Linked DNA regions of Macaca mulatta. The protein of the gene in region 1 interacts with the protein of each later gene in a pairwise test. Links are inferred from orthologs where the notes say so. Each region holds a gene or a part of one and is shown in the gene's direction. Other genes may lie near its edges.

What was found. The genes of interacting proteins can lie anywhere in the genome.
Region 2: the proteins of FHL2 (region 1) and KIAA1217 interact in binary tests that used the Homo sapiens proteins (3 or more experiments, as listed by UniProt). The two-hybrid records come from large-scale screens. The link is inferred for Macaca mulatta from reciprocal best matches to the Homo sapiens genes FHL2 and KIAA1217.

What each region holds. Positions count from the first base shown.
Region 1 is NC_133418.1:13,489,939-13,493,588, reverse strand, and holds part of FHL2 (four and a half LIM domains protein 2), read left to right. Parts: intron 1-2,804; coding exon 2,805-2,984; intron 2,985-2,998; exon of another isoform or gene 2,999-3,650. UniProt on the Homo sapiens protein: May function as a molecular transmitter linking various signaling pathways to transcriptional regulation. Negatively regulates the transcriptional repressor E4F1 and may function in cell growth.
Region 2 is NC_133414.1:25,647,299-25,651,048, forward strand, and holds the start of KIAA1217 (sickle tail protein homolog), read left to right. Parts: upstream 1-1,149; 5' UTR 1,150-3,501; coding exon 3,502-3,571; intron 3,572-3,750. UniProt on the Homo sapiens protein: Required for normal development of intervertebral disks.

The sequences.
Region 1 (3,650 bases):
GCGGTACAAAGGATATTTATACGTTGGGTTTCAGAACAATAATTCAAGTGCTCAAGAGCCTCATCTTGTGATGTTATCACAAGAATGTCCAGGCAATGTTTTCTTTAACTCCAGGAAGAGTGATTTAGAAGGACGGATCTTGCCACATGTGTCCAGCTGCGTATTTATTGCTCTTGGAAGAGAATTATTCTGTAAACACAGAAATATCCAAGAATGGATGCTTGAAAGATGATCTTTTCCTTGCTTACAGTTGTCAGGACCGTGTATATGCAATAGTACAAAATTAATAAACTCTATCAAATTTCCTGTAATCATAAACCAGGCGATAATATTTTATTTGCATCAGAAGGTCTGATTCTGGGATTTCACTCTCCTATCGTTTGAAGACTGCAAATTGAACCAAGTGTTCTTAGAGCCTGTGAACTCTTGCTCACAGTTACATAGCCAACCAGTCTACCTATTTTTTTTTTTTTTTTTTTTTTGAGACGGAGTCTCACTCTGTCACCCAGGCTGGAGTGCAGAGGTGCCATTATCAGCTCACTGCAATCTCCACTTCCTGGTTTCAAACGATTGTCCTGCCTTAGCCTCGTGAGTAGCTGGCATTACAGGCATGCACCACCGTGCCCGGCTAATTTGGTTTTTGTTTTGTTTTTTGTATTTTTAGTAGAGACAGGGTTTCACCATGTTAGCCAGACTGGTCTCGAGCTCCCGACCTCAGGTGATCCACCAGTCTCAGCCTCCCAAAGTGCTGGAAATACAGGCGTGAGTGACCGCACCCAGCCCGGTGTACCTATTTAACAACAGAGAAAACTTTCCACTTTTAGGAAATGGAATATTGCCATTTATTCCTGAAGAAACTTGTCTGTTTTTAATGCCCTACGGACGTTTCTCCACACCAGCTATTCCTGTGGTAGGCGTTTTCTCTCCAGGATCATTCTGACATGATTATAGGAATGGTCATAAGAGAAGGGCCCGTCCCTTGCTACTTATGCACACCGTGTATTCATCCTAGGAAAAGTGCAGTGTGCCGGGCGTGGAGACGCCTTTTTTTTAACTTTTATTTTCGGTTCAGGTTACATGTGCAGGTTTGTTATATAGGTAAACTGTTGTCACAGGGGTTTGTTGTACATATTATTTCATCACCCAGGTATTAATCCTAGTACCCAAGTGTTACCTTTTCTGCTCCTCTCTCTCCTCCCACCCTCCCTCCCTGCTCAGGTAGACCCCAGTGTCTGTTGTTCACCTCTTTGTGTTCATGTGTTCCCTCATTTGGCCCCGCTCATAAGTGAGAACATGCAGTATTTGGCTTTCTGTTCGTGCATTAGTTTGCCAAGGAAAATGGCCTCCAGCTGCATCCGCGTTCCCACAAAAGACATGATCTCATTCTTTTTTATGGCTGCATAGTATTTCATGATGTATATGTACCACATTTTCTTTATCCAATCTGTCATTGCTGGGCATTTAGGTCGATTCCATGTCATCGGTATTGTGAAAAGTGATGCAATGAACATTCCTGTACATGTGTCTTTATGGTAGAATGATTCGTATTTCTCTAGGTGTATACCCAGTAATGGGATTGCTGGGTCAAATGGTAGTTCTGTTTTTAGCTCTTGGAGGAATCTCCATACTGCTTTCCACAATGGTTGAACTAATTTACACTCCCATGCACAGTGTATAAATGTTCCCTTTTCTCCGCAACCTCGCCAGTGTCTTGTTCCTGTTGAAAGGGCTTGAAGTGTTGCCCAGAGAGCCATTGACTGCAGCCACTGCATTTCTGACTATTCCATATCATTGTTTTGGGAAGTGAATCTTTCCCTTTATCCTGCTCTCAGGATACCTGGGCAGCTGCAGGATGATCTTTCCCATAGGGAGCAATGATTCATCCTCAGGGACTTTGGCAGTTTCTCTTGTGCAAGGTCAGCTTGCACTCCCAATGCAGCACGGAGGTCAAGGGTAATAGTGGCCTCATTGCATCTACTCTCAGGTTTCCCAGGTCAGATCTCCCTCCCTTTTGCCGCTGTGATTTCTTCCTATTCAAATCATGAATCATAAAGAGGAGCTCATGGAAAATCTTTTTATAGAAATGGACATATTATTTCTATGCCTGCCTTTCTATTTTGGGGGCAGGGAGAAGGGGAAGATGCAAGGCTGGGTCACAGCCGGACAGGATGGGGGCTCTGGTGCCAGCCCTTACCTGTATTTAAAACTGAGATAGCTTTTTCTGACACAGTAAAAAATAATTCGTGCTTTTCAAGAAGTGGAATGTGACCAGGTGTGGTGGCTCACGCCTGTAATCTCAGCACTTTGCTAGGCGAGGCGGGCAGATCACCTGAGGTCAGGAGTTTGAGACCAGCCTGGCCAACATGGTAAAAGCCTGTCTCTACTAAAACTATAAAAATTAGCTGGGCATGGTGGCAGGCACCTGTAATCTCAGCTACTCGGGAGGCTGAGGCAGGAGAATCGCTTGAACCTGGGAGGCAGAGGTTGCAGTGAGCTGAGATTGCACCACTGCACTCCAGCCTGGATGAAAGAACAAAACTCTGTCTCAAAACAAACAAACAAACAAACAAAACACGAAGTGAATGCATTCAAACACAAAACTGCCTTAGCTAATGAAAAAGAAAACAAAAAAGGTGTTATCATTGAAAATTATGACCTATTAAAGGGTGAGTTTTAATTATTCATCCAGAGGAATTAACCACCTTTCAGCTAAAGATGGCAGACAGTGGGACAGTTAATGTCTTTGCGTGCATCTCTTTCAGAGAGTGCTCAATGGGACCTGGATTTTCCCTTCTTTTTGATAGGTTGCTGAAAAGGCAGGTGTCAAAATGACGGAGCGCTTTGACTGCCACCATTGCAACGAATCTCTCTTTGGCAAGAAGTACATCCTGCGGGAGGAGAGCCCCTACTGCGTGGCGTGCTTCGAGACCCTCTTCGCCAACACCTGCGAGGAGTGTGGGAAGCCCATCGGCTGTGACTGCAAGGTACCTGCCACGGGACTCTGCGGGTCCCCGGCTGCTCCCCCAAGAAACACGGGCTTCTCTGTGATTTGTGCTGAAGCCCTGATCCACCACTAAAGTCTGTCTCTTGAGCCCCCTCCGAGAGGTGCGGACCCTGCATGTAGCCTTTCGGAAGCTTCTTCCCTCTAGCTAATGTGATCTCTGCCCACAAGCACTGGGTGAAGGCCTTGCCAGGACTTTCGTGCTTAGTGTCTCTGAGTACATTCTCTGTGTTCTAGTTATTAGTGCCCTTATCTAACCACCCAGCTGCCTACCAACACTGTAACTTTCTTAAGGGCGGTGCTCTCTTCCTCTTGTCTGTTTGCCCCATGGTGAGTAACGCGGAGCAGGTGCTGTGCTCAGTCAATATTTGATGAATGAATGTGTGCATGAGAGAACCAGAGTGGGTTCCTGGATAAATGGGCACATAAAAGCACAAAGTCCTTGGAAGATTGTGGGCTCTTTTCCTTTAATGAGAGAAGGACAGGATTTGTATTGTTTCCTTTCAATGGGGAAATGCGTTCACGGCTCTCCTGGGATGGCACAGCGTGGTTCAGCAGAGACCACTGGTCACTTCTACCAGTATTTAACAGGCCAAGCATGAGAGTTCAGCCACCAGACTGCCCAGTTCCAGCCCGGGCTCCGTGTCTC
Region 2 (3,750 bases), on another chromosome or scaffold:
TTGAACCCAGGAGGCAGAGGTTGCAGTGAGCCGAGATCGCACCACTGGGTAACTGAGCAAGGTGCCATCTCAAAAAAAACAGAGCAAGACACCATCTCAAAAAAAAAAAAAAAGAAAGAAAGAAAAGAAAAACTTACATAAAGGAAATTGACATGCTTTCCACAACCCTGTAACTGGCCTGCTGAGAAATCGCATGCAATTGTTTACGATTTTTGTGATTAATTCTCTTCATGGTGGTTGCCACTTATGTTGCGTTATCAGCACCAATAATGGTCCAGTTCTGTAACAGGTTAGCTATGACTACAAAATCACCATTTGTCTTTACAGCACTCTATTATCTCATCACTTGTCTTTCCTTTTAAATGACATTTGTTTTATGTGGTAGCTCATTTTGAGTCATGAATTGCAACATATGGAACCACTAACCAAGAAATAGTCTTGCACCTTTCCCTGTTAACAGAAATGGAGTTGAAAACTTAGCCTCCTGGTATTATTATTATTCTAGTTCTCTATATGATTGGAGGGAAATCAGATTTCAAGTTCTTGCCGCTTTCCTTATGCCTTTCACAGCAAATTTCAAAGTATAGCAGTAGGCAGATTGCAATGTAATAGCAATTTTTAAGCCCAGAAATTAAATTAAACCAGAAAGAAATACACCTACTTCTAGTTCAAATAGTGTTTCTTCCGGAAAGAAGAACATCTCCACAGTAACAGCGGTGACAATAAGAGTATTTTCATGAAGATCGGAGTTAGCAGGTTTATATAGATTGCAGAATACAGCTACTGTTTTCCAGAGAAACTGACAATCAGTGTTAAATGGTTAGGAAGGTCTCTGTGCTTTGGAGAAAGATATGGAATAGTCGGTGCAAGGGCTAATAGAGTGCCTTCTCAAATTGTTTTCAGTTCCTCCTCTTAAGGAGGAACGAAAGGCTGGTAAGTAATCCAATAGAAGCTTTTCCCTATAGAATGGTCAGAAAGTTTGATCATTCAAAAGAACATTATTTTACTGTAAATACATGTCTAGATTTCATGGTCCTTAATGATTTATGTTACATGTCTTCCCCCCTAACGCCTTTTTCTGTCGTGCATATCACAGAGTTTTGCTTCCTGGAATATCAGTGGAGAGGGTAGTCAGCTTGGCCCATATGAGGGAGGGGAGGGTTCTAGCAGCTGGAACGCAAGGTGGACTGACCAAGGGGGTTCCTTGGCCTGCCTGGAAAACGGTAGTTCAGACCTGGTGGGAAACATTCCCCTATTTTTGTCCATCTAGGGATCAACAGAGGCCTTGAAAGACTGCTGTGACACCTTCCAAACAGCCCCCAGGAAATCATAATCAGCATCTGCCAATGGATCTCTTCTGCCTGGGTTGAGCTAGCCAGGAGGGCCCCAGGGCAGGGTATGGTTTGTGGCTGCCAGCTGCCATGGCAGCTCTCTGCTGCCTCCTTCATCCTGGGGTTTTTGCCTCTGTGCTACCAAATGACAGGTAGGAGCTGCTAAGGATGGGCTCTCTGGACACCAAAGCAAGGGGCTTGGGGTCACAACTAAAGGCTGAGGGACATCTGATTTGGGCTGCTGCAACTGCAGTGTTTCTCTCTCTCTCTCTCTCTCTCACTTTTCTCCCGCCCTCCTCTCCACTCTTCCTGGCATTAATGCCTTAAAGACTAATACCACAACAGTGTACAAGAATCAGGATGATCTGGACCTGAAAGGCTGAACATAGGAGGGGCCTCCTTCATGAACATTTTACACCTAAGGAAATAGTACGTTTAAAACTAGATTCATCTGGCTTTGCCCAGGGGCCACCGGGACAGAAACTGTGTACGATTCATTCCTCCTTAAAGCAAGATTGCCAGGTAATTCTGTTGCAAAGTCATAGAGACCTTAAGTTATCTGCTCTGCAAACCCCACTGCCTCTATTCAGGCTGCCAAGGCACTGGTTTATTTTTCTGAAAGATTCACTGCGTCTTCTTGGATTTCAAGAAAAATCCCGTTAGGAATTGAGGGGCTCTCTTCTTCCCCTCCCGACATGAGTATAACTCACTTCCTGGCATGTCTCCTTTCCTTTTGGCCTACATCCTTTGTCTGTTAGGTGCTTCCACATCCTTATGTCTTAAATGACCAAAATACGTCACCCCCACTGCCAAAACACACAGGTCACTCGAGGTCACAATCTGGAACATAGGCCGGCCATTGTTCTGTACACATTCTTGATTTAAATCAATCTCAAACCTTGCTGGAATGCCCTGTAAACTGGGGCAAGGTATGGTCACCAGACTAAGCATTGTCCTTTTTTAACCTTCCAGTGATGGGGCTGCTACAGGCTACAATATTGCACTCTTCCTCCTAGCTACTGTTACCCTGAGATATCTGAGGTTGCAGAGCTAATGTTGCCTAGATTATTTTGCCATCCTTTTTTTTTTTTCCCTCCGGACATCATGCCCCCTATTTTCACTCTCTGGGAACTCTGCCAGTTTTTCAAGGACTGGGTAAAGAACAAAATAAATATTTGTAGGTGGTTTAAAAGGAGAAGAAGTATGTTGGCTGTAACTCTGCCCATCCAAAGAAATGCATTTTCACTGTCTTTCAGATGTTTTGAAGTTGTTAACTGGGAGAGCTTCAGAAGGTTGACTTTACTAGTTTACCTTTTGGATTTGTGATCAAGGGCTGAGTGTGTGTGTGAGTGTGTGTGTGTTTGTAAGTGTGTTGGGGAAGGGAGGAGTCTGAGAAAGTGAGGCAAGTAAGTAGAAACTTTTTTTAAAAAGTCCAGATTGAGTGATTGAAATCGACTGTGTGCAAATGACGCTAGACCTCTTCATAGATGTTAATCGGGCCCTAAAAAATTAGTGCCGGAAAGTGCTTACTTGCAGCACTCAGCATAGACCCTTTCTTTCAAATTGTTTGGGATTTTTTTTTTTTAAGGGAGTTCACTGAAATTTGGGAGGTTCGACAGGTTGCTGTTTCTTAATATGTGGATCACCCGATTTGGGAGGCTCACTCTCCCTCTGAGATTAAAGAGATGAGGGCACTGGCTCCCAGCGAAGGCTCCTGGCCTTAATCATGTGTGAAATGTTTTCCTTCCTGGGCTGCAGAGCCTCGGTGGTTTGCAGCGGTGGAACCAGGCAGGCCGAGCTGTGGGTAGGAGAGGCCGTCACCTGTTGGGGCCTCCCCCCTCGCGCCCAACCCCCGGCATCGCCCTGCCCTGGCAGAGCCCAGCCCCCAGTCCCCGGGGAGCGCGCCTGCGGACGGACGGACAGACGGACGGTCGGACAGACCTAGGGACGGAGGGCCAGGGGTAGGGGAGATCCAAGAGGCCCGGCGCTGGAATGCAGTTTTCTCCGGCGAGGGAGACTTTGCACCGGAGTGGAAAATAGTTTGGGGTGGGGTTTCGCACCGTCCCCTCCTCCCCAGCCCCGGGCCCCCTCCCAGGCGCTTTCTGGGAGCTTTTAGAACTGCGCTCTGAAGTTTCCAGAGAGCAAGGAGCTTTTGCGGCAGGCAGAGACAATGGAAGAAAATGAAAGCCAGAAATGTGAGCCGTGCCTTCCTTACTCAGCAGACAGAAGACAGATGCAGGGTAAGTAACAGACCCATTCAAAGATGGAGTTACAGGGACGCGTGCCCCTTGCCGCTTGCTGCTTTTTATAAACTGCAGCCCTGGGACCTGGCAAAGAAAAAAAAAAAAAAAAGGCAAATTCTTGAGATGGTACATTTTCCAAACTGGATAGAGAATAGAGAACTGTGATTTCTTAGGCT